7 linked regions of the Rattus norvegicus genome follow. The protein of the gene in region 1 purifies or fractionates together with the protein of each later gene. This does not show direct contact. Links are inferred from orthologs where the notes say so. Each region holds a gene or a part of one and is shown on either strand. Other genes may lie near its edges.

Evidence for each region.
Region 2: the proteins of Ppp1ca (region 1) and Ppp1r9a purify together in Homo sapiens (affinity purification with mass spectrometry; 3 studies listed by BioGRID and IntAct, counting the BioPlex papers as one, with this or other methods). This does not show direct contact. The link is inferred for Rattus norvegicus from reciprocal best matches to the Homo sapiens genes PPP1CA and PPP1R9A.
Region 3: the proteins of Ppp1ca (region 1) and Rassf8 purify together in Homo sapiens (affinity purification with mass spectrometry; 3 studies listed by BioGRID and IntAct, counting the BioPlex papers as one, with this or other methods). This does not show direct contact. The link is inferred for Rattus norvegicus from reciprocal best matches to the Homo sapiens genes PPP1CA and RASSF8.
Region 4: the proteins of Ppp1ca (region 1) and Ruvbl2 purify together in Homo sapiens (affinity purification with mass spectrometry; 4 studies listed by BioGRID and IntAct, with this or other methods). This does not show direct contact. The link is inferred for Rattus norvegicus from reciprocal best matches to the Homo sapiens genes PPP1CA and RUVBL2.
Region 5: the proteins of Ppp1ca (region 1) and Ppp1r37 purify together in Homo sapiens (affinity purification with mass spectrometry; 3 studies listed by BioGRID and IntAct, counting the BioPlex papers as one, with this or other methods). This does not show direct contact. The link is inferred for Rattus norvegicus from reciprocal best matches to the Homo sapiens genes PPP1CA and PPP1R37.
Region 6: the proteins of Ppp1ca (region 1) and Ppp1r18 purify together in Homo sapiens (affinity purification with mass spectrometry; 5 studies listed by BioGRID and IntAct, counting the BioPlex papers as one, with this or other methods). This does not show direct contact. The link is inferred for Rattus norvegicus from reciprocal best matches to the Homo sapiens genes PPP1CA and PPP1R18.
Region 7: the proteins of Ppp1ca (region 1) and Polr2e purify together in Homo sapiens (affinity purification with mass spectrometry; 5 studies listed by BioGRID and IntAct, counting the BioPlex papers as one, with this or other methods). This does not show direct contact. The link is inferred for Rattus norvegicus from reciprocal best matches to the Homo sapiens genes PPP1CA and POLR2E.

The regions. Positions count from the first base shown.
Region 1 is NC_086019.1:210,912,923-210,917,391, forward strand, and holds the start of Ppp1ca (serine/threonine-protein phosphatase PP1-alpha catalytic subunit), read left to right. Parts: upstream 1-1,653; 5' UTR 1,654-1,721; coding exon 1,722-1,776; intron 1,777-2,234; coding exon 2,235-2,366; intron 2,367-2,498; coding exon 2,499-2,729; intron 2,730-3,233; coding exon 3,234-3,338; intron 3,339-4,289; coding exon 4,290-4,469. Other genes in the region: Tbc1d10c (carabin), read right to left, coding at 114-265. UniProt on the Homo sapiens protein: Protein phosphatase that associates with over 200 regulatory proteins to form highly specific holoenzymes which dephosphorylate hundreds of biological targets.
Region 2 is NC_086022.1:34,247,280-34,251,019, forward strand, and holds part of Ppp1r9a (neurabin-1), read left to right. Parts: intron 1-131; coding exon 132-330; intron 331-2,261; coding exon 2,262-2,381; intron 2,382-3,155; coding exon 3,156-3,179; intron 3,180-3,740. UniProt on the Homo sapiens protein: Binds to actin filaments (F-actin) and shows cross-linking activity. Binds along the sides of the F-actin. May be involved in neurite formation. Inhibits protein phosphatase 1-alpha activity.
Region 3 is NC_086022.1:180,449,377-180,453,685, forward strand, and holds the start of Rassf8 (ras association domain-containing protein 8), read left to right. Parts: upstream 1-1,370; 5' UTR 1,371-1,452; intron 1,453-4,309.
Region 4 is NC_086019.1:105,037,785-105,041,758, reverse strand, and holds the end of Ruvbl2 (ruvB-like 2), read left to right. Parts: intron 1-8; coding exon 9-102; intron 103-242; coding exon 243-366; intron 367-692; coding exon 693-787; intron 788-871; coding exon 872-990; intron 991-2,366; coding exon 2,367-2,486; intron 2,487-2,650; coding exon 2,651-2,780; intron 2,781-2,960; coding exon 2,961-3,075; coding exon of another isoform or gene 3,076-3,162; coding exon 3,163-3,188; 3' UTR 3,189-3,272; downstream 3,273-3,974. Other genes in the region: Lhb (lutropin subunit beta isoform 1 precursor), read right to left, coding at 3,393-3,635, 3,864-3,974. UniProt on the Homo sapiens protein: Possesses single-stranded DNA-stimulated ATPase and ATP-dependent DNA helicase (5' to 3') activity; hexamerization is thought to be critical for ATP hydrolysis and adjacent subunits in the ring-like structure contribute to the ATPase activity.
Region 5 is NC_086019.1:88,337,646-88,342,152, reverse strand, and holds the start of Ppp1r37 (protein phosphatase 1 regulatory subunit 37), read left to right. Parts: upstream 1-1,560; 5' UTR 1,561-1,929; coding exon 1,930-2,143; intron 2,144-4,507. UniProt on the Homo sapiens protein: Inhibits phosphatase activity of protein phosphatase 1 (PP1) complexes.
Region 6 is NC_086038.1:2,882,207-2,885,946, reverse strand, and holds the end of Ppp1r18 (phostensin), read left to right. Parts: intron 1-1,553; coding exon 1,554-1,761; intron 1,762-2,769; coding exon 2,770-2,789; 3' UTR 2,790-3,577; downstream 3,578-3,740.
Region 7 is NC_086025.1:10,315,909-10,320,168, forward strand, and holds the start of Polr2e (DNA-directed RNA polymerases I, II, and III subunit RPABC1), read left to right. Parts: upstream 1-1,449; 5' UTR 1,450-1,525; coding exon 1,526-1,582; exon of another isoform or gene 1,583-1,662; coding exon of another isoform or gene 1,663-1,695; intron 1,696-2,505; coding exon 2,506-2,680; intron 2,681-3,633; coding exon 3,634-3,830; intron 3,831-4,093; coding exon 4,094-4,152; intron 4,153-4,260. UniProt on the Homo sapiens protein: DNA-dependent RNA polymerase catalyzes the transcription of DNA into RNA using the four ribonucleoside triphosphates as substrates.

The sequences.
Region 1 (4,469 bases):
CAGCTGAGTTCTGGGCTGGTGTCTACAGCAAGACCCTAGAGGCCAGGCCTGATTCCAGAACTCAGTCCTCAGCCTCTGTCCCCTACCATCTCCCCTACCCATGCCTCACTTACCCCAGCTCAGCTGAGTTGCCCCCAATGAAGCCATATCGGTCAGCCTGACGATATGGGCTGGACCCACTGATCTCTGAGTCGGACCCTAGAGAGCTAGAATCATCCTGTAGTTCTGACGGTAGCAACAAGTCCTCTCCCAGGGCCTGGGCCATTCTGCCCTAGACCCCAGTGTCACAGGCTGCAAGACATATAGAGAGCCAGTGTGAACAGCCAGACTGAGGCTGGGGTTCCAGGAACCAGTCCTCAGTCACGGGGGAGTCAGGTAGTCCCTGAGGTACCACAAAGACCAAGTCTCTGTGTAGAGACCCACCCCAGGCCTGGCCCCTAGCCCAGCTCACCTCCTTGCTGCACCTCACCTCCTCCTCTCACTTCCTCCTCAGTCTCAGCTTCAGCAGCCTATTGGGGGCCCCTCCCTGGTGGGGGGACTCCCCCCTTCCTCTATGAGGTTCTTCCTGCTTGCCTTAGTGCCTGAGCCACGGACTCCTCCCATCACGGATGGGAGGTGTGAAGAGTCCCCGACTTGCCCAAGTTGAAGATGACAGGCCACTATCGGTTTTGAGGTTACTTGCGTGTAAAACCAACTCATGGTTCCAGTAATAATTATGCTTTAATGTCGTCCCACCACTCCAACCCACTGTCCTGGGTTTTCTTTTTTGAGAGTGAAAGGGTACAGTCTGGGAACAAGGGTCTCACGTAGCCCAGGCAGGAGATGAACTCACTATGTAGTTGAGCATGACCCTGAACTTCTGATCCTCCTGTGTCCAGACTCCTGAGTGCTGGAATTTCAGGCACTGGAATTACAGGTTTATGATACATTGGGTTCTTTAATGTGTTACTGTTTAAAAATAATACCTTTCCCCCCTTTTCTTTCTTTACTTTCCTTCCAGAGCCGGAGATAAAACCTCAGGCCTTGCACATGCTAGACAAGTCCAAGCATTCTACAAAGGACTTACAACAGGAAGGAGATAAAATAGTATTACATCACTTAACGAAAAAAAAAACCTGACGTAGCAGGCACCAAGGCAACCTGGACCAAAACATTGCTTCGAGTTCAGTAGCAGGTGTTCATGGGTCTGGCCATAAAGACCGAGGTGAATGTGAGGCTCTGGAGGTTTGGAGCTCACTCTCAGTGTCATTGAGCCTTAGTTCCTTTTTCTGCACTTCGAGGAATTACTTTACAGTGTTTGAGAAGTCAGCGATTAACATGCTCACACCACAATCCCACGCAGGGCTGGGGTGGGAAGAGACTTGGAAAGAGAAAAACAATTTCTACAGTACTTCCGGTTCTAACTCATCAGAACGCAGCAGGGCGATTCCTCCTGGGTGGAGCCGACCCAACTCCGCCCTACAAACCCCGCCCTCCACCCCTGCCAGGCCTCGCCCGGCCGCCCGAGGCCCTCCCCGGCTGCAGTGCTTCCGGTCCAGGGGAGGCGCTAGAGAGCAGGGAACTACGGACGCGGCAGGGCGGGGCGGCCGGCCGAAGAGGCGGGGCGGCGGGCCGAGGGCGGGCTGGGGAGGGCGGAAGGAGAGCCAGGCCGGAAGGAGGCTGCAAGAGGGCGGGAGGCAGGAGAGGGCCCGGAGCTGGTGGGCCGGAGCGGCGGCGCCGCCATGTCCGACAGCGAGAAGCTCAACCTGGATTCCATCATCGGGCGCCTGCTGGAAGGTGGGTAGGGGTAGGGAAGGTGCGCGCGCGCCGAGCCTGGGCCCATCGCCGTCCGGAAGTAGAGCGCGGGCGGGCCCGCCGCTCTCGGGGGCTAGCGTCGCTTGGGCGGGGACAGGCCGTGAGGTTCTATGGCCACGGCAGCCCTCCCTACTCCCTGCGCCTAGGCTTTGGAGCGCGCTCCGAGGCCGGGGACGCTTGAGTGGCCGAGACTCAGGGTGAGACTCCTGCGAAGCTAGCTGGGAAGGGGTTCTGAGGCGAGGAAGCTTCGGTTGACAGGCTGCTGAGCACAGGCGTGTCTCTGGAGGGCCTCCGGGTGGCTAAGGGGTCGTATCTTGCCTTTGAAGGCCTGATGCAAAGGTTTCAGCGGGGGCTCCCTTGCAACAGTTGCTGGTGTTGGGGAGGGGCGCATGACATTCGGTCTGCGAGGTCAGGGTCCCAAGACCCTATTCCGTACCCAGTGCAGGGCTCACGGCCTGGAAAGAATGTGCAGCTGACAGAGAACGAGATCCGTGGTCTTTGCCTCAAATCCCGGGAGATTTTCCTGAGCCAGCCTATTCTTCTGGAGCTTGAGGCGCCTCTCAAGATCTGTGGTAAGCCCTTGCTCAGAACCCCTTAGCTTCCTCAAAATAGCCCCTTACTCCTGCCCCAGTACCTGTGTTTCCGTTGCTGGCCCTGGGTTCAAGTTTACATCTTGGACCTACCTAGTCTTCTCTGGTTCCCAGGTGACATCCATGGCCAGTACTATGACCTTCTACGGCTGTTCGAGTATGGTGGCTTCCCTCCAGAGAGCAACTACCTCTTCTTGGGGGACTATGTGGATCGGGGAAAGCAGTCTTTGGAGACCATCTGCTTGTTGCTGGCCTATAAGATCAAATACCCGGAGAATTTCTTTCTACTACGTGGGAACCATGAGTGTGCCAGCATCAACCGCATCTATGGCTTCTATGATGAATGTGAGTGCTTTGAATGTTGCTGGTTGCCCAGAACTACATTTCCTGCACTTCATGGGCCCCCTAAATTGTTCTAGTGCTGAGAACCCTGATGATGGGTCCTGCAAAGCCCCAACCAAGCTGTCTGTTATCCATGGCACCAAGGAAGGGCCTGGTGAATGGATGTACATGCAGGGCTGCCCGTTTGCTAAAGCTTCCTCCACAGCCCTGCCCGATGACACTTCCCTCTATTGCATCCCTTACTAAGCATTTAGGGTGCATGTTATGAATAAACCAGACACTGAGGTTAGGCCAGACTGGAGTTCAGGTTCTTGTGGACCCAGGTGTTGGAATTCTGGAAGGTAGATGAGGGCAGAGCAAGGAAACTGTAATAAGCTTTCTTTGCCTTCTAGTCTTTGCACTTTGTCAGAGTAACCCACAAAGTACCCTGGAGGAGTGCACAGAAAACTATAGACTGGGTTTTGTGTGGTGGGTGGTCTTCCCTACGAGCCATTTTCTTCTGTGCAGGCAAGAGACGATACAACATCAAACTGTGGAAGACTTTCACCGACTGCTTCAACTGCCTGCCCATTGCAGCCATTGTAGATGAGAAGATCTTCTGCTGCCACGGAGGTCAGGATGGTTGTGGGGTCTGTGCTTGGGCTATATCCTTAGGGGCCTTGGAAAGTTAACAGAACTCTCCTGTTTCCTGGAGTAGCTCTCCTTGAATTTGGCTGTCACTTATTACAGGTCACCCACAGCCCAGTTTGTTTTTGAGACAGGGTTTTTCTGTGTTCTGGAACTCACAAGAGTTCTGGTTATCTCTGCCTTCCAAGTGATGGGACTAAAGGCCTGCACCACCTCACCTGGCTACACACCCCAGTTCGACTGCGCTTTCCTGTTGTGGTATTTAGCATGCTATAGGCAACTCATTCATCTCCTTCCCCCACGGAGGTCTACTCTTTTTTTTTTTTTTAAATATTTATTTTATTTATTATATATGAGTACACTGTAGCTGTCTTCAGATACACCAGATCTCTTTATAGATGGTTGTGAGCCACCATGTGGTTGCTGGGAATTGAACTCATGACCTCTGGAAGAGCAGTCGGGTGCTCTTAACCGCTGAGCCATCTCTCCAGCCCGTACTCTTTGTACTTCTAAAAGCTGAGGGATGGCCAGGTGGCGGTGGCATACAAAGGGAGTTCCCTGGGTTGGGGATTTAGCTCAGTGGTAGAGTGCTTGCCTAGCAAGCACAAGGCCCTAGGTTCGGTCCCCAGCTCCGGGAAAAAAAAATGTTAATACATAAAATATCCAATAAAAAAAAAACTGAAAAAACATATTCCTAAAAAAAAAAAAACAAAAACAAAAACAAAAAAAACAAAGGGAGTTCCCAGACAGCCAAGGCCACATAGAGAAATGGGGCCAGCAGGAATATAATGAACTCTGTTTCCCTAAACTTAAGGAGCCCAAAAGATGAACCCAGCGTTGGTGGGGAAAGTGGAGCTGACCCCTGAGACCTTTCTGGGCATGGGATAGTACCTGCTTTTCGGTGTAAGGAACACTATTCTCACTCTACCACCCCAGGCCTGTCTCCAGACTTGCAATCCATGGAGCAGATTAGACGTATTATGCGGCCCACGGACGTGCCTGACCAGGGCCTGTTGTGTGATCTGCTGTGGTCTGACCCTGACAAGGATGTTCAAGGCTGGGGCGAGAATGACCGTGGAGTCTCCTTTACCTTTGGGGCCGAGGTTGTAGCCAAGT
Region 2 (3,740 bases), on another chromosome or scaffold:
ATACATTTTTATCACTGTGGTAGAGCAGTTTTTCAGAGAGTTTTACCTATACCAAGAGTCTTGCTAGGACTGGGCTTAGTATGTCTTTTGTCATTTATTTGTCTAACATACCTGTTCTTTTCACCCCACAGAATCTTCAGAAGCAAGTTGGAGAACTGGAAAGCCAAACCAGCCTCTACAGTTCAGGCCTCCGCCCCCTCTCCTTGCATGCCTTTCTCATGGTTTAATGAAAGTCGGAAAGGATCCTATTCCTTCAGGAACCTGCCTTCAGCTCCAAATCCCCTCCCGCCTTCTCCTGAGACTCAAATTTCAGATAAAACAGGGTCCAAGGTAGACTACAGTGGACTGTAAAAGCTGACAAGAAAGCCCCAATCCTGTCCCCTCTTCAGTTTTCGGAAAGCCTTCTCGACCTGTGTGTGTGCTAACATTGTCCTAGGCATGCATGGTGTTTCCTTGTGGGGAAAGAAAGCCCCACCTAACCGGCACCCTCTTTAATACCGTTCTGTTTTAGTGTGTGCTTTTCTCTTCGATTTACCTGTCATTTCACTTCCTGCTATTTAATCTTTTTGACAGTTAAGCCATGCTGGGAAAGAGACATTTGGATGGTGAAACAGTGTTGGAAGATATTTACTAAGTATTCTTCTTTAAATTGCATTATGAAATGATTTCACTGTGCTCTTCAAGATTTACTGGAAAAGCAGATAAATTTGGGACTGACTGTGTTCAATATATTTAAGTGAAGCAAACAGAAAAACAAAGACCACTGGCATAGCCTTACTTACTGTTTGTATCAAATGTCCATGCAGAGCACTGGTTCTAATTCTCTTTAGTGTTAGCAGAACTGCACTTGATGTATATGTGTGGGTGTGGTGCATTTCAAAGTGTGTGATGGTTATTTCCAGCATGACACTGCGAGGCTTACCTAACATCGTACTGACACACGTGGTGGCTAACCTTCATGGAATTTGGTCTCCTCTTTTTACTGACACGCGTGGTGGCTAACTTTCATGGAATTTGGTCTCCTCTTTCCTGTGTTCACTCTTCTTTCCCAAACAGAAGCCAGAGGTTAATCTGACTTAAACTGAGTTCTTCCCTTGAGGTCAGCAGCTCGAAGGGGTTTGACCTAGGGGCTAGAGGTTTGCATCTCCAGCAATCAGACCAGAGGGCGATCATGCTTTGTGTACCAAGCCTTGCTGCTGAGTGTTCTGATGACCACTCCTCTTTTTAGGAGATTTATCAAATCTTGGAGTTGGTTTGGTACTAAATTCCCCAGTCTCTGGCCTGGTCTTTATTCTCAACAATCAACTAAGCCAATGCAAAAGGACCTAACAGAACTAACAGTCTGGAGAAATGCTGTGTGAAACAAGGTGGAGTTCCTGGGAGTCCAACCACTTGACAAGTAGCCAAAGAAGTTTTGTGATGATGACCCTTTGGGCCCTTTAGTACTGTTCTGAGACCCACGTTCGCTTGAGTGATCCTAACATTATCTACCCTAGAAAGAGGTTCATTATAAAATGTTTGCACAAGTAAGGCTCTGCGATCATTGTCAAGTTGTTCTAACATCTGCTGAGCATGTTAAAGCAATTCCAGGGGAATTCATTTTCTCCCACATCCCACCTCACTAACCCCAAGAGGTTATGCAGCCTTCTGGGTCTGTTCCACCCTGCAGTCTCTTTGCTGTATGCTGGTGCCATGAGAGAGTTATAAACCAACATGTAACTAGTGTTGTATTGTCAGACATGCCCTTCTCCAGAACTCATCACTCTGAAGGGTCCATCCAGGAGGGGACCTGTCACTTCTCACAGTGTTTATCACAGCCAGCCACACAGCATCTTTCCCAGGGGCTCTCCAGCTACCTTCCTGATATGAGTCGCCATCTGTCCCTGATAACTCAGCCTCTCCACACCATCTTGTATTCCTACTTACACCGTTTCCCGTCACAGTTAGGGTCAAAGCATGTGGGCCTATTAATATCACTACTCTGAGCACTGGCAGAGGGTAACGAATTCTGAACCCTTGGAGAAAAACTGGAGAATCATTGCTGTCTGCCACCTATTCTTACATCAATGGAGAAGGTGCCCAGGATTTCCAACCAGGCTTCTTCACCACTGCTCGACTGAAGGTTGTCCCCAAAGCACACTTGAGTCTCTTCTGAAGACAACTGATTAACATGAAGCAATTGAGGCCTTGGGAGCACGCCTGCCGCTTGTTCACTCTGTGTTCATTTAATACGGTTGTGTTCTTTTTTTTTTTTTTAACAGAATTTCACCTTCAATGATGACTTCAGTCCAAGCAGTACCAGTTCAGCAGACCTGAGCGGCTTAGGAGCAGAACCCAAAACGCCAGGGCTCTCCCAGTCCTTGGCACTGTCCTCAGATGAGGTACTGTAGTGGCACCATGGCAAAACTTAGTTCCTATGTCCTTTACTTCCTCCATATCCCTCTGTGGGAAGATGACGTTCGGGGGAAGCTTCGGCACAGAAGGCATCAGCACTGAGGTTTTATGTTTAACACAAAATCCCCATGATTCCATTCACCTTGCCTTAACATTACAGAACACTTTCTAAGCCCCTTGAAGCTTCCCGGTGATCCCACTATATATGTAAATGCTAATGTTAGAGGCTGGCCACTGGAGATCAAGACTAGACAAACAGTTTAGGTCACCTGGAAGCTGTAAGTTATCTGCTCTCTCTCTCCTTACAGAGTCACCCATACCCCCCGGACTCTGAGAGTTTTCTGGCTATGATATGCCCCCTGTTGAATCATTACCATCAATAGGCATGGTTCTGGAAAGGAAATAGAGTTAGAATCATTTATTCAGAGGCTAAAGTGAAGATTAGCATTGCTAAGAATTACCAGGAAGTATGTATGCAGGTGATAAGCGGAAAACTAGGTTGGAATTGATTTAGTTCTAAAAATAAGTGGGAGTCGGGGCAGGAAATAATGTAATTAGAGTGTTTTTCTTACATATGAAATAATTGTTCTTAATTCTTTGTAACATGAATTATAGAAAATAAGCCTTTTTCCCTTTAAATGTTTCTGGACGTGTTTTCCTGGCTAGGCTTGATTCTAATGTTGTAGAGCGTGCACGTGGGTGTTGTGTGTCCCATTTCTTTAACATTCTTCTTCTCGGTTCTTTTGTTGCTGCTCCCCCAGAGCCTGGACATGATAGATGATGAGGTGAGCTCCCTGTGTGTTGTGCGTGGTGCCTGTCTCGTTCGAACCTGCTTTTTGCTCCTTACAAATGACTTATGAATCCAACACTAAAGAACGCTTTCCTCCGAAGTGGAGGGGGGAAACCCTGCAATTGTTTGCATTTGACTTAAAAGATGTTCCTGGATCAAGATGTCCCCTCCTCCAGAGTCCTAAGCCCCGCCTCCAGAGTCCTTCACTCACCTCCCATAGCCATTACCTGACATGGTCCATTCTTTTTCTTATCCTCTGCCTTTCCTCAGCTCACACTCTTCTTCACATGGCTCTCTCTTTCCTCTGAGACCTGCCACTGCCTCATCTTCTCTCAGCTCAGTGGCTCTGGGAGCTGCCATGCCTCTTTATGCAAATAAAGAGAATGGTCTAGAGTGGACAGAGCCTGGAATTTGCACTGAGCGTCTTGTTAAGCTCTTATTGCTTGCACTGTGTTGTCTAAGAGAGCGTGTGTGGACTTTCTGATCCTCAGTTCCCTCATGTCTTAAAGGAACCGTGGATGCCAGTGTCCCCCTTCACACAGATGGGCTTCTTGCT
Region 3 (4,309 bases), on another chromosome or scaffold:
TAGCCAGGCTTGTCAGCATCCAGGGAGCTAAGAATGGTCCCCTGTTTCTCTAGCTCTGATCTAAATTCACTGCCTTTAAAATGGGGATACTACTGTTAGCTGGAAAGCCATGACGGACAGGCACCTAAGATGTGCCTGGCCCCTCTTTGTCTACAATGGCAGCAGCTCCCATTTCTTCTCCACACTTAGTCTGTGCTGTCCAGACTGGCAAACTCTCCCTTTCCTGTTCTGAACTCCTCTATCCCAGCAAGGTGTCTTGCTCATTGCATTCTGTCCATCAGCCCTCCAAAACAGTTGACCACAAAATATCTCAGAAACTTGTCTGATTTTCAGTCTCTGCCGTCGTGTTGGTTAGTTCAAGCTACTCTGACCTCTCTTAAGTCCCCTGGTCTCCTTTGCCCCTTCCTGTTTGTTTTCTTGCTGATAGCCCGAAAAAGAAAGTCAATTTTTCTACGGGCCTTCTAGATTCCCAAGAATCCTTGGAGTAAGGTACAGAATCTCCAGCAGGCCTTCCTGTCCTGTTCCTTAAGGCCCCAGCCCCTCACCCACATCCCCCAGCATATAGACCAGTTCTCCAGCAGACTGGCCCCAGGGCCCTTATCCCAGCTGCTGAGTAACCTCTCATCTGTGAGTACTAGCTGCAGAATTCTTTCTCATGGAAGTCTTCTCTGAGAAGGTCACCGTTTTCACGTCTGTTAGACCCAACTTATTTCTTCCATAAGGACAATCATCCTTAATTTGCCACAATTTATAATTGTACTATATTTTATTGTTCACCCCCCCATGAGCAATAGATAGTGCCTGCTTTACTCTCCAGTCCCTGGTATGCACAGCGGTGCTCAGGGGATAAAGTGGTACAGTGTCCATTTCTCATGTATGCCTTTGTTTGAAACGGTCTCACCGTATAGACCAGGCTGTCCTCAAACTCTCAGAGATCTACTGGATGCTGGGATTGAAGCACTCGGGCACCAGCACACCCACAAGGCATTTACGTCTTTCTTAATAGTCCTCATCTCTGTGATACTTGTGTCAGAAAAGCCAAACTAGCCTTTCTGTGTTCCAGTTTTGTGAGTGATCTGGAACAAACTTTTAGCATCAGGTAAAAACAATCCGTCTGTGGTTTGTAGAAAATGCATGCTAATTAGACACCTTTTAATTAGTGTTGCACATTCCACTTTTCTAGCTTCAGCATTGAAACAACTGTTTTATTAGCGCAGGGTTACAGAATGGAAATGTGAATTCTGCTGTGCCTGATGTTTTACAGTGTGACACAGTTGTGGGCCAGACAGATGATGTGACTGCCCAGTGCCAGATGTCCACGGAGGTTGGGGAAACTGCCGCAGGCAGAGGAGGGCAAGGTCTAAGGATGCCCACGTGTCCTGGCAGAGTGTGATATTCATCACCAGATGCCATCTGAGCCCAGTGGAGAGGAGCAACAGGAGCCACCTAGAGGTGGGGAAGTTCTTTTCCTTTCTCACTAAAACCGTTTTTAAGTTAAAGTAGGCATGACCGTCCATAGCCAAGGAAGCTTAAAGCGCTGTTGGTTTTCTGTCCTGTGGTTGCCCCGCATAAAATCCTGACTCAGTGGCCTGCAGCTCAGCGATGCCTCTGCTGCTCATGCTGCAGGTGCCTGTCTTACAATACTTCTGCTGTCTCCTGACTGTGTTTCCTTCAGTTACTACTCACCCTTAGAGCACACGTGACCCAGCTTCTTTCTTGTTGGTCAGGGAATGCACCAAGGACTTTGGATCTATTGCTGTCCTCAGAAGGGAGTCCTCTGCACACAGCCTCTCGGTCCCCTCTGTGCTGGATGGTGAACAAGAATGATTACAGACACCTTTGAGCTCCCACAGCATGCCCGATCCCATGCTAGACATAGTGAGGAGAAGGCGATAGGTCTTCATGCCTTCGTTTTAGTCAGAGAAACTAGTCCCCTTCCTTTCGCTTCATCCCACTGAAGACGGAGCTGTGCCTTCTGGAGGACCTCGTGTTTTACGTGGAGACTCAGATTCATCTGTGTGAGAGAATGGGAGTGGTTTTGGAGGGGGTCTGGCATGTGACCTGCTTTGTGCAGGACCTCTGTGCCCCAGGACATTTGTGTCACCGCTGTAGACATTATTGTGGTTGGGCACCCTTGTGATGTTTTGGTGTCTTGGGTTTATGTGCCTACTGGCTACCTAGACTTGGACAGTTGCCTGGAGTGTCTCGGCACCAATACCATTCATTTCCCGGTCCTAATGTCAGATGGAGGTTGGTTTTAGTTGTTTGTATGTTTTATACATTCAGGTTTTATCATCATGCTCAAAATAATTAATTTTAGAGCTGTCCAGGTTTATGCATTGTAGTTCACTTCACTAAGCACTCAGATTTTACTCTGTTTTAGGGGAAAAATGTAGATGTAGATGTAGATACAGGTTATAACAAGAGGGAAGTTGTAGCCACTCTCTTCCATATTTTATTCAAATAGATGTTTACATTGTCTTTCTGCTTGATTATCATTGGCTTCTGAGTGCTAAATCAAATTTATCATTAAGTATAGTAGTTTTATTATTGGAAAACTAGTCAAAATAAAATGATCCTTTCAAATATAAGTATATATTGTAAAAAATTAGACTTCCTTTATTGGGTAGATAGTCAGAAAAGTAGAGTAAGAATTTCTTGTTATTTTTCTTTAATAGAGTTGAATGGATTTTTAACATATGCAGCTCTGCTATGGAAATGCCATTGGCGAATAGGTTAGGCATAGTGGTGTCGGACTCTTAGTTAAAGCTTAGCCATTTAGGCAAGAGATTGTATTACTGGATGTATTAGAATCTGTCAAATACAAAATAGCTTATTGTATCTTAGCTTCCTTATTTTTATGTGTACAATAACTTTTCTTAACTTATTTGCTCATTTTAAATATGTCGCTGTATTATTTGTTTATTTGCTTTGTGTAAATGTCTGAGTCTGAGGACAGTTTGTAGGAGCCCCTGTTCCCCTCCTGAGTAGGTCCTCAGACTTGGTAGTGAGCTGGGCTCGCTGAGCTGTTTTGCCAGCTTGCTCAGATGAAAATTGTCATGCGCTAGGCTGCGCGTGCCTGACTGCAGTTTTACAAGCTTTGGTGTAGGTCTGTGAAGCCCTTGCCACCGCCAGCACAACAGGCCTATCTGTCCTCCTCCCCAGTGTCTCTCTCTGACAGTGACGATGTCCCAGCTTCCCCTCCTTCAAAAACTCCACTCTGCCCTCTGTCCCTGTAGCTGCCTGCCTCTTCTAGAGTTTGAGCTGAGTGGAGTCATTAATGTAATGTCTGACTCTGTTGGTATTTGTAGCAGTGGGGCTGGGGGGTAGCTCAGTTGGTGGACTGCTTCTTGCCCTCATGAACAAAACCCTGGCTCAGTCTCCAGCACTGTATAGGCAGGATGATTAGAAATTCAAGATCACCCTCCATTGCTTGTGAGTTCAGATGCAGGCCTGCTGTCCCACTGTATCTCCACTCGCTTGCCTGTGGTTAGACTTCTGAGCCATTGCCTTTGGTTGTGAGCTTAGCTTTTAAAGAAAATGCCAGAATGTTTTCTAAGTATACTCTACCATTTTACATTTGTTTTGTTTCTGCTTTGCAGTGTTTGGCTGGCCTTGAACTGACCTCTAGAGCTGGGAGAGGGGGTCGGGGAGGGTATTTATAAGCAAGTGTGCACCACAACTGCACCTTCTCCGTGTGTGAACACACTCATGTCTTGCTTGCTGCACTTGGTATAATCAGTTTCTTTTTGTTAAGTGTTCAGGTGTGTCCACTGGTGCGTTTCATTGGCCTTGTCTAATGATTGATGTTGAGCGTCTCTAAGTCCACTTTTATTTTATTTTATGTGTGTGGGCATTTTGCTGGCTCGTGTGTCCTCTGAGGTCAGAGGAAGGTATTGGATCCCCAAGACTGGAGTTACAGATGGTTTTGAGCCACTGTATGGGTGCTGGGAATTGAACCCTGGTCTTTTTTGTAAGAGTAGCAAGTATTCTTAACTGCTGAGCCGTCTATCCAACCCTGTTCGCGTTCTTAACTGGGTTTTAAGATTACATTTTGAGAGGTTCTGTGTACTTGGGTACAGTTACTCATCAAATAGATTCTCTGCCAAAGTGTCTCAGTCTGACACCTGCCATTGACTCCGTGTGGGACTTTCTACGAGAGAGAGTTTTATATTTCAGTGAAATCTCTCTGATGGGTTTTTCTTTTATTGGTGGTAGTTCTATAATGTGGTACTCAAGACATCTTTGTTAACCCAAAGTCTTAACTATATTTTCCTATGTTTTCTTCCAAAAGCTTTATACACCAGGT
Region 4 (3,974 bases), about 110 Mb from region 1:
TCCTTCAGGGACGTGATCACCATCGACAAGGCCACTGGCAAGATTTCCAAGCTGGGCCGCTCTTTCACACGTGCCCGAGACTATGATGCCATGGGCTCCCAGGTGCTTGGCTCATCCCCAACCCAGCACTGGAGTGTTTCTCCATCTTCTGTTATGTCATGGGGTTGGATGCTGGGTTACCTCCCAGTGTGGGGCTCCAGGCTGTGTCCTGGCTGCCCTCACACCTGCCGTTGACCCTGTAGACCAAGTTTGTGCAGTGCCCAGACGGAGAGCTGCAAAAACGCAAGGAGGTGGTGCACACCGTGTCCCTCCATGAGATTGACGTCATCAACTCCCGCACTCAGGGCTTCTTGGCTCTCTTCTCAGGTCAGCTGCCCTTCCCCCAACACCTTGAATGCTCTGGTACATCCTTTGTCTCCCTCAGCGTGGCTCACCCCCACCCCCAGCTTTTCTGCCTCTTTCTTGGCGCTGTTAGCTTTCTTTACAGACTTGCTGCTTGTCTCTGTTCCCCGTCTGAGTGTGTCCTTCCCTACACTGCCCTCGAGTCCTCCCTCGGGTCACTCCCTCTGTCCTTTCTGGCCCTGCTGCTGCAGCCCAGAGCCCTCCTCCCCAGTGCTCCTCTGTCTCTCTCTTCACCCACCCCGGTCCTGGGCTCAATCTCTAATTCTAACTGACACCCCCATCTCTGGCAGGAGACACAGGGGAGATCAAGTCAGAAGTCCGAGAACAGATCAATGCCAAGGTGGCAGAGTGGAGGGAGGAGGGCAAAGCGGAGATCATCCCTGGGGTGAGTGGCCGCAGCCCAGGAGGGTATGGTTAGCCCTGAGGTACCAGGTGGAGAGAGCTTGATCTGTGCCCTAATGGCTTCCAGGTGCTGTTCATCGATGAGGTCCACATGCTGGACATTGAGAGTTTCTCTTTCCTAAACCGGGCCCTGGAGAGTGACATGGCGCCTGTTCTTATCATGGCCACCAACCGAGGCATCACCCGGTGAGCAGCTTTAGAGGCCTCTGCAGCAAGGGCACTCTGGGCCAGGGGTTGATGGTGGCCTCAAGGTGAATGACCATCTGCTGAGTTCCTCTCCTTACTCAGCTTGCCTCCAGTGTGGTCCTCACAATCCTGGACAGATAGAAAATCTCTTCAAGTTGGATTTAAACTTGTTGGAGCAGGCACCCAAAGGGCCCTGGGAAGTTTACCCTATGCTGAGCACGGGGCTATCTATTAGATATGTCACAAACTGCTGTGATCAGTCCGTCACTCAGACCCCGCCACTTAATCGTCACAGACCACATGTATTGACCTAAAGACACTGTGGACACTGGGCATGTCAGCTCCAACCACAGTCCTGGTAATATGGAGGCTGAGAAAGGACTCAGTTCTAGGTCAACCTGGGCTTCATGAGACCCTTTGTAGATAAGAGAGTATACAAACTGGTTTGGATAGCCAGACTTTTCCTGACGATGGCTCATGACTTCATCAAGCACATCACCTTGTCTCGTGTTTTTAGCATGGCGTCTTTGTTGTTGTTGTTGTTGTTGTTGTTGTTGTTGTTGTTGTTTGAATGTGGGGGAGGCAGTATATGCAGGTATGAATGTAGGTGTGGGCAGAATCCAAAATAGTATGGCAGGTCCCCTGCAGCTAGACTTAGAAGCAGTTGTGAGCTGCCTGGTGCAGGTCCTGGGACTCTCCCTGGGCTCCTCTGTAAGAACAGTATGTATTCTAACCATCCCTCCAGCCCCTCTTTCTTCTCTGACTTACTTTTATGTGTGTGTCTGTGTGTGTGTACACATGCATGTGGTACCCACAGATGACACAAGTTTTCAGGCCCCCTGCAACTGCAGTTAGGTGTAGCTGTGGTGAAGGCGGATGGCACACAGCCCTAAGAGGCTGGGACCTGGCTACCTTGCCTGCACTTCATTCTCCCCACTACTCCCACTTCACAGAGTAGATCAGCAAAGCTGAGCAGCTTGCCCAAGGCCATAGATGTGAAGGTAGCAGGGGGGAGGGGAGGCAGCCCTAAGGTCCCCTTTGCTAGTTGATGTTCACTGCAATTCCCCAGTCCCTGAAAGTCCATGAGTGGTAGGTTAGATCTGGCAGCTGTCCTGAGCCAGCCCCTGGAGAACAGTACTCTCATATCGATGGCTAAGCTCCCATGCCTGGAACAAACTGCCATGGGTCCCATTGCTCACCAGGAACTGGGTTTGCCAGGGCAGCAGGGCACAGGACAGCCGCTAGTGTGCACAGCTGCCGAGAAGTGTGTTACTGGGGATGAGAGCCAGTGCTCACAGTTACTGAGTTCCCAAGTGGGCTATGGTGGCACGTATGTTTTTGAAAAGCATCCATTAACAGTTTTCCCTGACCCCCAGGATCCGAGGCACCAGCTACCAAAGTCCCCACGGCATCCCCATTGACCTGCTAGACCGGCTGCTCATTGTGTCAACATCGCCCTACAGTGAGAAGGACACCAAACAGATCCTACGTATCCGGTGTGGCATCTGCCCCACACTGAGTCGGGAAAGATGGGGTGGGAGGCCCTCCTGTGCCCGTGGCTCTTTTAGCCTCACCATCCGTGGTTCCGAGACCCCAGTATCCATGCATATTATGGGATGGGTGGGTGATATGCCTGCCGTTTTGGCCTGCCTTCCCACAGCTGTGAGGAGGAAGATGTGGAGATGAGTGAGGACGCCTACACAGTGCTGACCCGCATTGGGCTCGAGACCTCCCTGCGCTACGCCATCCAGCTCATCACAGCGGCCAGCCTGGTGTGCCGGAAACGAAAGGTCAGCCAGCGAGTTAGCCTGGAGGACTGAGGGGTGGCCCTGGGGTAGCCCTTGAGCCATGGTACATGGATATTTAGTGGGGACTAAGAACCACAGCCGGTGCCCGGGCATTTTAGAGAAAAAAACCTAGTGGTGGGGGTGGCCCCGTGCTGACATCAGCTGAGCCCCACCTGCTCTCAGGGCACGGAGGTGCAGGTGGACGACATCAAGCGCGTATACTCCCTCTTCCTGGATGAATCCCGCTCCACACAGTACATGAAGGAATACCAGGACGCCTTCCTCTTCAATGAGCTCAGTGAGTATCCCAGGCTGCTGCCACTGTGGGAGGGGCTGCATGGGAGCACCCAGGAGCTCCCTCACATTTGGCTTCCCCTCTCTGCAGAAGGTGAAACAATGGACACCTCCTGAGCTGACACTGCACCCCAACCCTTCCCAGCCTGTTTTCTACAAGTTCTAACACTGTGACTTTGTATAAAATTATTGAAAACTGGAGTTCTGCTGTATCCTCAGATCACACAAAAGGACATCGGAGTGCAGTTGTAAAGCCTTTATTGGGAGGGATGGTTAGAACACCTGCTGGCTCCAGAAGAATGGGGAGTTAGTGGGTGGGCATCAGAAGAGGAGAAGGCCGGGGAGGTGGGGAAGGTCACAGGTCATTGGTTGAGTCCTGGGACCCCCACAGTCAGAGCTACTGAGACGGCAGGGCCCACAGCGGCAGCTGAGGGCCACAGGAAAGGAGACTATGGGGTCTACACCAGGTGGGCAGCCAGGGAGGCGGACAGAGGCGAAGCGCAGCTCACGGTAGGTGCACACTGGCTGAGGCACGGGAGGCAAGGCAGCTGGCAGTACTCGAACCTGAGTGCAGGGTGGAGAAAGTCCTCATCTGAGTGTCCCTCCCCTGTGCTGCGCCCCCTCCCCACCCCCTGCAGCCATTCTAGGCAGAATGCCCACCTGGTCCTGCCCCCACAGTAGCTGTGATCCCTGCCCAGGTGCCATCTCCCTGTACCCCACTGCCCCCACCTGTAGGACTGCTAGCAGCACTGTAGGGCGGAAGTGATGTCCATACCCATTTGGTCAGCTCACCATGCTAGGACAGTAGCCGGCACAGATGCTGGTGGTGAAGGTGATGCAGACTGGGCAGAACTCATTCTCTGCAGCCAGGGTTGCGTTGACAGGCCGGCACAGTGGCCGAAG
Region 5 (4,507 bases), about 120 Mb from region 1:
TTACACCAGGTTACAAGGTTCCTCTGGGTGATGTGGTCCACTGCAGTCAGCTGCAGGTTTGTTTTCCCACTGAGGAGACAGGGAGTGGTGGTGGTGTTCGAATTTGTGTGACAGCCCGGGAGCAAATGCTGCAGGTTGGTGGTTAGCATTGAAGATTTACCCTTCCTCAGTTTGCTCCACCTCCTAGTGAGAAAGTCTGTGTCACCTGTTTCAGTCCCTTGTCACTAGAAATCTTTCAGTAGATGATATCCAAAAGCAGTTCCTAGCTGAGCACAATGCCCTAAGCCTGTAATCCTAGCCCTTGGGGTGGGGAATGGGGTGTAGAGGTAGGAGAGCCAGAGATAATAAAGCCAGTCTTGCCTACATGGTAAGTCAGAGGGCAGCCTGGGTTACGTGAGAACCAGTAAAACCAAACCAACCAACCAAACAAGAAAACCTAGTTAATGCCTTTTATTGAAGTTCAGAATGTAAGTGAAGGCTTGCATTAATTATAGGGGGCTTTTGGTAATTCTCAGTCTCAAAAGTGTGCTAATCCACAATGTGAAGAGGGAAACAGTTACCCTGAGCAGTAGCCTTAGTTGCTATCAGTTCACACCGCTGCCTCTCTCCAGCCCCAGCCCAGCTCTCTAGTCCAGTTCAATCAAGTCCAGTTCTACCATTTCAGTCCCTTGCACCAAAGGGTTGACCCTTAATAAGAAGGGAAAGCGAAAGTGCCGAGATGAATCCGAGCTATGAAATCGATCCCTTGGAGGTGTGGCCTGGGTTCGCTCGGGTTTGGTCAGCTGATTAATCTCGAGCTTTTGGAATTCCGCTCCCAGTTTGTTTTTTAATCAGGTTCATGAATACCCAGCATTTACATTTGATACAATTTTGACGAGACAGTGAAGCTAAAGTCTGCTCTTCTGTCGCTTCTGTCACCTGCACGTACTCATCCTATATTCAGCTCGGCTCTCTTGGCTTTTCAACACCTCCATCACTTTACCCTGCTCCCAGTACTTGGCTTAGCCCCGCCTGGGTCTCACTCTGTAGCACCTGCTTGTCTGAGGCTCCATATGTAATCCAGTCTGACCTCGAATTCACAACCTCCGCCTTCAGCCTCTCCGAGGCTAGGATCACAGGCGTGTCACTACCCTGTCCAGCAGGTAGTTTTTAAATTAAGGACTCTGATCCTTATTTTATATTTTAAGTTTTTTTTTTTTTTTTTTTTTTTTTTTTTTTTTTTGTGGACGCGTGTGTAGAAATCAGCGGACAATTTTGTGGCGGCAATTCTTGCATTTTACGTGAGTCTCTGGTATCGAGCTCAAGACGACTTTTACCGCTGACGCAGCGCTTTTGCAGACCGCGGTGAAAGGATTTCTAGTGAATTCTTTCCCGAATTACTTGGACTTGTGACGAATGTGCGGGAGCCTAAGTGTTGACAGCTGGGCTGAGGGCGGGGGGGTTAGGGGGCGGCGGCGGCAGCGGCAGCGGCTGAAACTCGCGCATGCGCGGCGCTCGGGGGAGACAGCGATCATAGGCCCCGCCTCTGTGTTCTGCAGTTCTGGCTCTGCAGATTCGCTGCTCACGTTTCTCTTTCCCGTGGAGTCAACTGTTCTTTGTTCCCGTCTTCGTGTCGCCCTCGAAAAGATTATTTTTTTCAGAACAAAATCTCGAGTCGGGGTTATGCTTTTCTCGGTACGCAGCGGGCGCCTTAGCTTGTAGCGAAAGTGTGGCTGCGGAAGAGCAGGTACTCGCGGAGCTCGGCGGAGGCGCGTTGGGGCTCCCGGCGGCGGCGGCGGCGACGACGACGACGAACGGAGCAGACGGAGGCGGCGCTTGAGGCAGCGGCCAAGCCCATGCCCCGGAACGGCGGGAGGACCCGGAGAGACGAGTCCGGGGCCCGGGGCATGTCCCCGGGGCCCCCGTGAGGAGGAGGAGGCGGTGGCGGCGATGGAGATCCCGCCGCAGGAGGCTCCGCCCGGGCCGGGCGCGGACGCCGACGCAGATGCCGAGGCCGAGGAGGCCCCAGCCGAAGCTGGGTCTTCCAGCGGAGCTTCGCCCCCAACCGATGGGCGCCTTAAAGCTGCGGCCAAGCGTGTCACGTTCCCGTCGGACGAAGACATCGTGTCCGGAGCTGTGGAGCCCAAAGACCCCTGGAGACACGGTAGCTGTGGCTAGGGTTGCGGGAGAGAGCCTAGGGGCGGGTGGGACCGCCAGAGCGCCGACTCCTACGGAGGTGGCCCGCGGTAAATGTCACTTATCGGTGGTTTCAGCGGTTCCTAGGTTAGAGCTGGAGGCAGTGGTGTTGGCGGGAGAGTTGGAAAGGTGCACAGGATTGGGTTTTCAAACCCTAACCTTGTCTGGGAGTTTGGGAGGCTGGCAGCCAGCCTTTGAGTTCATGGTACACCCAGGCAGGAATAGATGAAAAGAACCCGTCTATAGTATTGGGGGAAAGGTAAGTGAGTCCACGGGGCGGTGAGAGCAGAACCAGCTGGTCTGTAAACCAGGACGCAAAGGGTAGCCGGCTATGGCCATTGCTTTTCTGGCTGGAATGAGAACGGGAAATAAACCCAGACTGTACAAGAAGTTGGTAAACCCTCCGACTGGGAAAAGAGGGTCGGAGGCAGCAGGCTGAGAAGCAGAGGGCGAGGTGGTCAGTTTGCCTGTATGCGAGGAATTCCTCAGTAAGGTTCAGCAGCAGAACGTGGAGCCCACTTTTACCAGGGTCTTCCTGGGGAAGGACTGGGGAATATTACCTACTCAGGTGTTTCTGGTCAACAGAAGCCGTTGGGAGATGGGAAGATCTAAGATCTAGGCCTGTTGGAGAAGGTTGGTGGGGAGGTAGAACTGGACGGGCACTTGGAGGTGTGCATTGGCTTTGATGGCTAGGAAAGATGAAAGGTTTCGGAGGAGACGGACTCAGGCTAATCCCGTTTCTGAGCTGAATTGTGTTTTGCTTGGGTGGAGCCTGTGAAGTGAGGTCGCCCACTGGCCATGTTCCGTAGAAGCTAACCTGCTTGTCTGGGAGCAGACAGACACTACTGCCAGGCTGTGGGCAGCAGAGTGGGCAGCTAGTAGCTTTGATGTATGTGAGGGCGGGGACTTGGTTGCAGGAAATGATACACTGAGAGCTCGCCATAAATGCCAGTTTGACTAGTAATTATCAAAGAGACCAAGGTTAATTTAGATTTGACTTGGGGAGCCTGCCAGGGCCGGGTGGTTTGTTTAAGGTTCTGAACTTCTTGGAACTGGTGCTGAGGACAGGAAGAGTCCAGTGGACCCTGGCAGCAACCCGATGTCCACTGTGGTGAGATCACAGCAGGAATGGGAAAGTTGGAGCAGTGTGGCCATTCAGAAGTGGTTAAGAAACCCGGTGTGGCTGTATGCAGCTGTGAGCCTAGCGCTTAGAGGCCAAGGCTGGACCATAGAGTAGCCATTCTAGGGGGGCTTGAACTGCATGGTGAAACCCTATTTCGTTATAAAAATAAAAGGGGAAAAAGAAAGGCTAGCTTGATCAAATTCTGATTTTCTCATTTGCTGTCTTTTACAAACTGCTGAGAAGTTGCCTGGATCCCCTGAGCCTCAGAACCCCCCTTCCCCAGAATGACTGACAAGAGCAGTGGCCCAGGGTCTGCCAGAGACTGAGTGACATCACACATGAACAGTGCCTGGTGAGGGTGAGCCCTCTTAAATCCATGATGATTATGAAGGCAGCACTGAGACCTGGAAAGAGCTTGCTCTTTAGTCAGGGCCAAAGTCAGAACCTAGAACCTTCCAGGATAAGGGTCAGATGGTGGGGCCTGGAGGTCAGGGCACCTGGAGGGTCAGGCAAAGTTTCTGGCCCACCGTTTTTCTGAAAAGGCTAAGCCTTTTATTTATTTTTTTAATATTTATTTAATGTATATGAGTATCCTGTTGCTGACACACCAGAAAAGGGCATTGGATTCAATTACAGATGGTTGGTTGTGAGCCACCATGTGGTTGCTGAGATTTGTACTCAGGACCTCTGAAGAGCAGACAGTGCTCTTAACCACTGAGCCATCTCTCTAGCCCCCCCCCCTTTTTTTTTTTTTACATAAAATGGTCTTATGTAGCACAGATTGTGTATGGCTAAGGGTGATTGAACTTTGACCTTCCCACCTCCCTCTCCAGAATGATGGGATTGCAGGTCTGTGCTAACACTCATTTTATGCAGGTCAGGGGATAGAGTCCAGAGCTGCTTACTGCTTGTCAAGCACTGTGGAGCCACGCTTGCAGCATATGTGTGTGTGTGTGTGTGTGTGTGTGTGTGTATATATATTTTTTTTTTTTTTTTTTTTTTTTTTTTTTTTTTTTTTTTTGGAAACAGGATTGAATTGGGTAGTCCAGGCTGTCCTCCAATGCATGCCTCAGCCTCTGTCTCCCAGCTCTAGGATGACAGACATGACCCACCATGGCTGCAAGGTTTGGCTAACAAGAAAGCTGTTTTTTCCCCTCCTGCCTGCCTCCAGTTTCTTTGTTTGCAAATGGAGGTACTAATTTCTTAATT
Region 6 (3,740 bases), on another chromosome or scaffold:
CTGTGGCCTCCTCTCCATCCCTACACAGTGTTTGCCCAGACTTTGCTCTCTCTCCTTGTCTGTTCACAAGCAGTTGCATGTTTAGGGACTCTTCTGTATGCTGGGCATCCCTTGGCTCGTCTAAACCTTTCCGTTGTCATCCAATCCTGAGTCAGGAGTGCCCATCTGACTTCATGATTGTTTGTTTTTAAATACCTCTGCCTCACAGCAGTGAAAGATAGAGACCCGAATTCTGCCTTACTTACCTCGTTGCCATGGCAAAGTCTCTTTTTTGGGGTGTGTGTGTGTGTGTGTGTGTGTGTGTGTGTGCTTATTTTTAAAGTCAAGGTCTCTATGTAGATCAGGCTAGCCCCAGACTGGTCACCTGATTCCATCTGAATGTCAGCTTTTACTCTCTTGTATTTCATGTGCATTGCTGTTTTTGCCTGGGTGAGGGTGTCTGAGCCTCTGGAACTGGCGTTGTAGACAGTTGTGAGTCGCCATGTGGGTGCTGAGAATTGAACCCAGGTCCTCTGGAAAGAGCAGCCAGTGCTCTTAACCACTGAGCCATCTCTCCAACTCCTCACCCCTTTCTTTTTTTTTGTTTTGTTTTTTTAAGATTTATTCATTTATTATATATAAGTACACACTGTAGCTGTCTTCAGATACCAGAAGAGGGCATCAGATCTCTTTACAGATGGTTGTGAGCCACCATGTGGTTGCTGGGAATTGAACTCAGGACCTCTGGAAGAGTAATCGGGTGCTCTTAACCGCTGAGCCATCTCTCCAGCCCACCCCTTTCTTTTTTTAGACAGAGTTTGATCTGCATGGAAGGCTAGCCTGGAATTTGGTGTAATCCTCCTGCCTCATCTTCTCTCTCTCTCTCTCTCTCTCTCTCTCTCAAAAATTATTTTTTTTCAAGTTTATTTATTTACTCTATATAAGTACACTGTTGCTGTCTTCAGACACACCAGAAGAGGACATCAGATCCCATTACAGATGGTTGTGAGCCACTATGTGGTTGCTGGGATTTGAACTCAGGACCTCTGGAAGAGCAGTCACTGCTCTTAACCGCTGAGCCATCTCTCCAGCCCTCTTGAACGCTGAAATCGCTGCCTCGAGGCACCACACCTGGGGTGCAGAGAGACACCTGACATAACACACTGTGAAGGTCAAAGGTTCCAGAGAGGCCTGGCTACAATCGCTCTCACAGCCCAGCCAGTGTTTTGCAAGCCTGTGTACGTGTACACTGCAAGTATGCCTGGAGCCTGCAGAGGTCCCGGAACTACAGTTACAGATGGTTGTGAGTGCTGGGAACTGAACACAGGTCCTCTGCAAGAGCAGCGAGTGCTCTTAACCACTGAGTCATCTTCCCAGCCTCTAAGTGTTGTTTTGAATGATGCCATTAGACGGAATAATCAAGATGTAAAGGAAAGCCGAACCCCAAATGGATGGAAGGGAAGGTCTGCGGGGCACCTAAGCCCAGCCCCGCTCCACTTGCCTCTGGTCTCTCAGCCCTCCCTGGATCCCCTAGTGATGAACTTGCCTCCTCTCCCCTCTCTTCCTACTCTCAGCTCAAGATCTCCTTTAGTGAGACAGCACTGGAGACCACATACCAATACCCTTCCGAGAGCTCGGTACTGGAGGATCTAGGCCCGGAGCCTGAGGCCCCCACTGCCCCCTTAGCAACGCAGCCTGACGATGACGAGGAGGAGGAAGAGGAGGAGTTGCTTCTGCAGCCCGGGCTCCAGGGCGGGCTGTGCACCAAGGCCCTAATCGTGGGTAAGCGGCTGCGGCGTGGTTGGCGTAGGGCGCCCCCTGGTGTTCATGGCTTTGTGGTACTTTGAAGGAGCTTGGTCCAATTTGCTACATCTGCTGATTCCTGAAAGCCAGCACACTTGGAGTCTCCAGATTTCAAAACCAGAGCTCGCTCGTTATCCAGATCTCTAATCTGGTTAAAAATACCCGTGTTGGGTCAGGCGGCATGGAGTCAGAATTCCAGCTCGTCTGTTACTTAGTTGTGATCCTGAATCAATCCGAGCTCGGTTTCCGTTTACCTTATGTGTGGCGTGCGCGCCTGCACTCCCAGATCCCAGAGCATGCTAGGCGGGTGCTCTGCCGCCGATCGGTATCCCCAGTTTTCATTTATCATCCTTTAAAATAAAGTTAACAGTTGTGTGCTGGGCCTCCGGGTGTGTAGCTCAGCGATAAGATTGCTGCCTTGAGCTGAGAAAAGTGACTCATGCCTGTAATCCTATCACTAAAGCGGGGGTAGATCCGCCTAGTCTACACAGTGAGTTCCAGGGCACCCTGGACTATTACAGATCGAGACCCCATCTGAAACGAACAAACAAAAAGGTTGTGTACCCCGCCTTAATTGATAATAGCAAGTACTTTTTTTTTTTTTTTTTTTTTTTTTTTTGGTTCTTTTTTTCGGAGCTGGGGACCGAACCCAGGGCCTTGCGCTTCCTAGGCAAGCGCTCTACCACTGAGCTAAATCCCCAACCCCAAGCAAGTACTTCTTGAAGTTGTTTGAAGACTTGAGTAGATTTTTGTAAAGCACCTAGGTATACATAGCTAGGTATTAAATTACTTCACCTTTGCTGAGACGATTGTGAAATTAAACAAGATGCTCAGCACAGAATCCAGTTAACCGTGATGATGACCACTGTTCCACAGCCAACATGTTACAAAGACTTCTCTTATACCAGCCACTCTTCGGTTCTGGGGATGCGTGGGGAGGCGGAGGCCCTCTCCGCTTCTCTGGATTGATTACCTCTTTTCCTGCAGATGAGTCCTGCCGGCGGTGACCATCTTCGAGTTTGGGCATATACCTCTCTCCTTCTCGCACCTGAAGATTCTGGAGCTTGGATGATTCAGAGCCGACAGACATGGCAGTGAGCCCGCCTGGCAGGGAAGGGCGACAAGCGAGCGAATTCGGACTTGCTTTTCCCATCCTGTTCCTGGGGCGGAGCCGGTAGCCTAAATTGACCCCTAACCCAAAGTTCCCGGTGGGCGGAGCATCCTCGGTGAGCTAAGAGTGAGCATCAAGTCCTGGGTTGGAATTCAGAATTTATCTGGAATTGAGATGGAGCACCTCCAGCCTCACAGCCTTCCTTAAAGCTCAGCCACTCTCCGGGGATCCCGCTCCATCCACGAACACCCCCTTTTCTAGGTCACTACCCCTTTGTTTACAGCTTCCCTCTTGATCACAGCCTGGTTTACATACCCACTAGCTCCCAATCCCACCTGCAGAGTCCCAGGTTTACAAGCCATGCCTACCCGCGGAGCCCCTGTGGGATCCTCCACCTTCCCTTTGTTTCATTGTGAGTGACTTGGGAAGGTGTGTAACCTTCTTCAGCTTTGCTCAGTATTACTGTGCCTCGGTTTCCCCCAAGAGGGCAGGCTGGGGATCCTAATCCTGAACCCCATGAAAATTATTTAATTCTGTTCCTCCACGTGGTTCACATTGAATTGAATTGCAGTGTGGGGGGCGCTCAGGAGGCGCCTCGCTTCTCCCCATTGCTCCTTGGTCAGCTGCCTGGTTTGTTTCGTTTTTTGTAACTTTCCGTAATAAAATGGAGCTCTTTTCAACTCTCTTGCTGTCTTCCTTTTCTTTGTTTCTTCTTCTTTTTTTTTTAAGATTTTGTTTATTTCATGTATATGAATACACTCTAGCTGTCTTCAGACACACCAGAAGAGGGCATCAGATCTCATTATTATAGACGGTTGTGAGCCACGATGTGGTTGCTGGAATTTGA
Region 7 (4,260 bases), on another chromosome or scaffold:
AGTATACATACTTAGGCTTTGATAGTCCATTACCATCAACAATGAGAGGCTCATGTCTCCTCCTGAAAGTGGATGTCAGGGGCTCCCCTGCTAGAGCAAGGGAGAGGGAGAGGGTAGAGGGAGAGAGAGAGAAACACAGGCTCCATCCCAGAACTCAGAGATCTACCCACTTTGCCTCCAGAGTGGTGCTAGAATCAAATGCCTCTCTCTCTCTCTCTCTCTCTCTCTCTCTCTCTATATATATATATATATATATATATATATATATATATATATATATATATATATATATATATATACATATACACTGTCACTGTCTTTGGACACACCAGAAGAGGGCATCGGATCTCTTTACAGATGGTTGTGAGCCACCATGTGGTTGCTGGGAATTGAACTCAGGACCTCTGGAAGAGCAGTCAGTGCTCTTAACCACTTAGCCATCTCTCCAGCCCCTCAAACTCTCTCATTCCCCATGCCCACATCCCCTTACTTTGCACCCACAGCTCTTAGCCAACTGTAGCAACCACAGCCCCTCAGCCCTGGTCTACAGGGCATATGGTGGGTTCAGTGATCGGTGCCCTTGGCCAAAACTTGTCTTTCCAAGTCAGGATCAGCCTAAGTTTCCATACCAGAACCGGTCATGATCTGTAGACCTCAGTCAGACTCACATCAGGACAGAATGGAGGGTACAGTCCGCATCTAGATTTCCAACGACAGCCCTTGCCAGTTGCGATGGTACAAGCTTTCAATCCCAGCACTGCGGAGGCAGAGGCAGGGCATGCTCTGCGCTGTTGAGACCTGGTTTACATTCTAACTTTCAAGGCAGCACGAGTAGCCCACCACATACACACTTGTTTGTCGATTGTCTATATGCCTATATGTCCATTTTTTCCTTCTAGTTTTTAGGATTTTAATCATGTGTGTGGGTCTGCATGTGGGTTTAGACATACCCAGAGGCCAGAGGCCCCAGATCCTCTGGAGCTGGAGTTACAGATGGCTGGGGGCGCTGGAATCCGATTTCTCATACAAAGTGCAAATATATTAATAAAAACTTATATAAAAAGGGAAACTGAGGCACATGAACCTGGCTTTTCATCATCGGGCTCCCCCTTTCTTTCTTTCCTTTTCTTTTTCGAGACAGGATGTCCCTGGCTATAGACCAGGCTCGCCTCAAACTCATCGACTGCTTGCCTCGGTCCGGGATTAAAGGCGTGAACTACAGCCAAGTTTTCTTTTGCAAACGCCTAGTGGGAAAATACTAAGGCAGGTCAAGTATCGCGCGATCTTCCCGTGTGCGATCTCGCGCAGACACCGCCGCGGTAAATGCTGGGATTGCCCACCGCTCAACCTATCCTGGAAAGTTGGTGTATTCCGGCGATCACCTAAACCAAACCTGGGCGGGGCCTTCTCCGCATTCCGCGCAGGCGCACTGTGCTGGGGGCGTGCACTTTATGCTGTCCCGCGCAGGCTCAGTCCTGGTAGGTCTACGAGCGCGCGTGCAGAGTTGTTTGTGAAGTGCGACAACATGGACGACGAGGAGGAAACGTATCGGCTGTGGAAGATCCGCAAGACTATCATGCAGGCGAGTTGCATGGGGAGGTTTTGAGCGAGCGCTGAGCTGTGGACTAACTGCGGTTGTCTGTCCGCTCAGCCCAGCCTCCAATGGGGGCTAATCCTCTTGCTTCAGCCTCCCAGGTAATAGGATGCATCCCCTCTTAAAGTGTGGAGTCCACCCACCTCAGTTGTTGGCAATCCTCCTGCTTCAGCCTCCTCCCCCTGCCCCAGAGGAAAAGTCCTAGCTGGACTCTCTGCTTCGGAAACGGGATACATGGCTGCTACACGGTCACACCTGGTTTACGGGGTGTTGGGAACGAATGGTTTCCTCAGTACTAGGGAGCCTCACCATCGACACCCACATGGTAGTTCACAACCATCTGTAACCCCAGTTCCAGGGCATCTGTGGCCCTTTTCTGGTCTCTTGGACACACGTAGGATTAAAAGAAGCTATTTAAAAAAATAAAACAAGCCGGCATGACGGCGCACGCCTTTAATCCCAGCACTCTGGAGTTAGAAAGAGGCGGATCTCTGAGTTAGAGGTCAGCCTGGTCTACATGGTAATTTCCCGGATAGACAGGGTCACATTCACGCAGAGAAACCCTGTCTGGAAAGAAAAGGGAAAAAAGGAAGACATTTTGGTTGTTCGAGTTGAGTAGATAAGACCCCAGTGGAGAAAGAGGTATTAATAGTTTTAATTTATGCTGTGTTGGGTGGAGCCCAGGACCTGATCTAGGCCTCCTCAGGCCTGTTCTCAGCCCTCATTAGGAGGGTCCAAGACAGGAAGGTTGCCAGGTCATTGACCCCAGCCTTCTCTGGTGAGGCTGGAGGGAAGGGAGGAGGCTTGGCTGGGGCCTCTGTAGTCTCAGCCTATGCAGAATTTGGGTACTGCGGGTCAGTCAGTGTTAGTCCCCAGCTGTCCTCTAGCTGAGTACTCTTCTCTCTCTACAGCTGTGTCATGACCGAGGCTACCTGGTGACCCAGGATGAGCTGGACCAGACACTTGAAGAGTTCAAGGCACAGTTTGGGGACAAGCCCAGCGAAGGACGGCCGAGGCGCACAGACCTCACCGTGCTGGTGGCCCACAACGATGATCCCACAGACCAGATGTTTGTCTTCTTCCCAGGTGAGGGTCCTTGGGCTGGCAGTAGTGGCATCCTCTGGGGGCCTCCAGTTCTGGTGGCAGCTGCCTGCTTTGTCCCTGTCTTCCCCTGGGAAGCTTCCATTTCACCGGTGTCCTTTTTGCCCCTGAGTCCGCAGACCAGTGCTCAGTCCCCCTGCTCCTGTTGCTGTAGTCTACAGTTGCTGTCTGAGGCCCAGGCGGCTCTCGGAGGTTTGTGGTGCTCTGCAGCTCCTCCAGTCTCCGCAGGCAGCTTGTTTCCTTTAATACCTGATGTTGATGCCTGGGGCCTGGGGTTTTAGTGTGAGAATTGGGGGTGCAGGGATGGGCATGGTAGCATGTGTTTATAAATCCAGGAGGCGGAGGCAGGCAGCCGAGGCCAGCCTGGGCTACACAGTGACTTCTAGGACAGCCAGAACTATGTAAGGCAGTGGCTGTCAGCCTTCCCGACAATGGGACTCTCCATGTTGTGGTGACCTACAGCCATAAAATTTTCATTGCTGCTTCCTAACTAATTTTGCCACTGTTATCATAATGTAAAAAGGTGTGTAGAGTCTGGATAAGGTCCGATAATTTGCAGACTAGGTGACTAGGTGACCTGGACCTGCTCTTGTGCTCTGCGTCCTAATGCTCCAGTAAACCCCACTCTGCCTGAGGAGAGAAGGCTTAGCCCCATGTTAGACACAGGGTCCACCTCCTGGTCAGACAGTTTCTCCTTGAGGCTGCCCAAGCTGACAATACCATATTCCACAAATCTCAGAGCTGCTGAGAATTTCACCCCCTGGATCAGGAGGGGCGGACAGTGCAGCTTTCTTCCGCCATGGCTGCCCCGTGATAGCCCCACCGCGGCTGGCTTTGCGTTCTGGTCTTCCTTTGTGAGTGGAGAAGCTAAGTCCACAGGCAGCAGGACATCAGGGACTCTAGTGGTGGGTGTGAGGGTCACACTTGTGTGCCTGCAGAGGAGCCCAAGGTGGGCATCAAGACCATCAAGGTGTACTGCCAGCGCATGCAGGAGGAGAACATCACACGGGCGCTGATCGTGGTGCAGCAGGGCATGACACCCTCCGCCAAGCAGTCCCTGGTAGACATGGCCCCTAAGTACGTGCTAGAACAGTTTCTACAGCAGGAGCTGCTCATCAATATCACAGAACATGAGGTGCGTGTGTCCCAGGGAAGGTCTGGGTGGCATGGCGTGGTCTGGACAGGATACGGGAGGGCCCTGGATCTTCCCAGTCTCAGGCCGTGCCATTCATAAGCTGGGCAGGGTCGTTCCCCAGTTTTAGTGCAGTGGCCTTGAGCATCCAACTTGGTGATATTAGTAGCCTGGTTGTGTCCTCTGTCCCAGCCCTGTGGCAGTACCCATTAGCCTGTTGAGTCTGTCGGTTTCTGATGGCCGCGGGTGGGTCTCTGTTTCCACAGCTAGTCCCTGAGCACGTGGTCATGACCAAGGAGGAGGTGACGGAACTGCTGGCGCGATAGTATCCTTTTTTTTTTTTTTTTTTTTTTACGTGTGAGGCTATATGCCCATATGCACAAAGTAGCCTCTTTTTTTTTTTTTTTTTTAAGATTTATTTTATTTATTATAT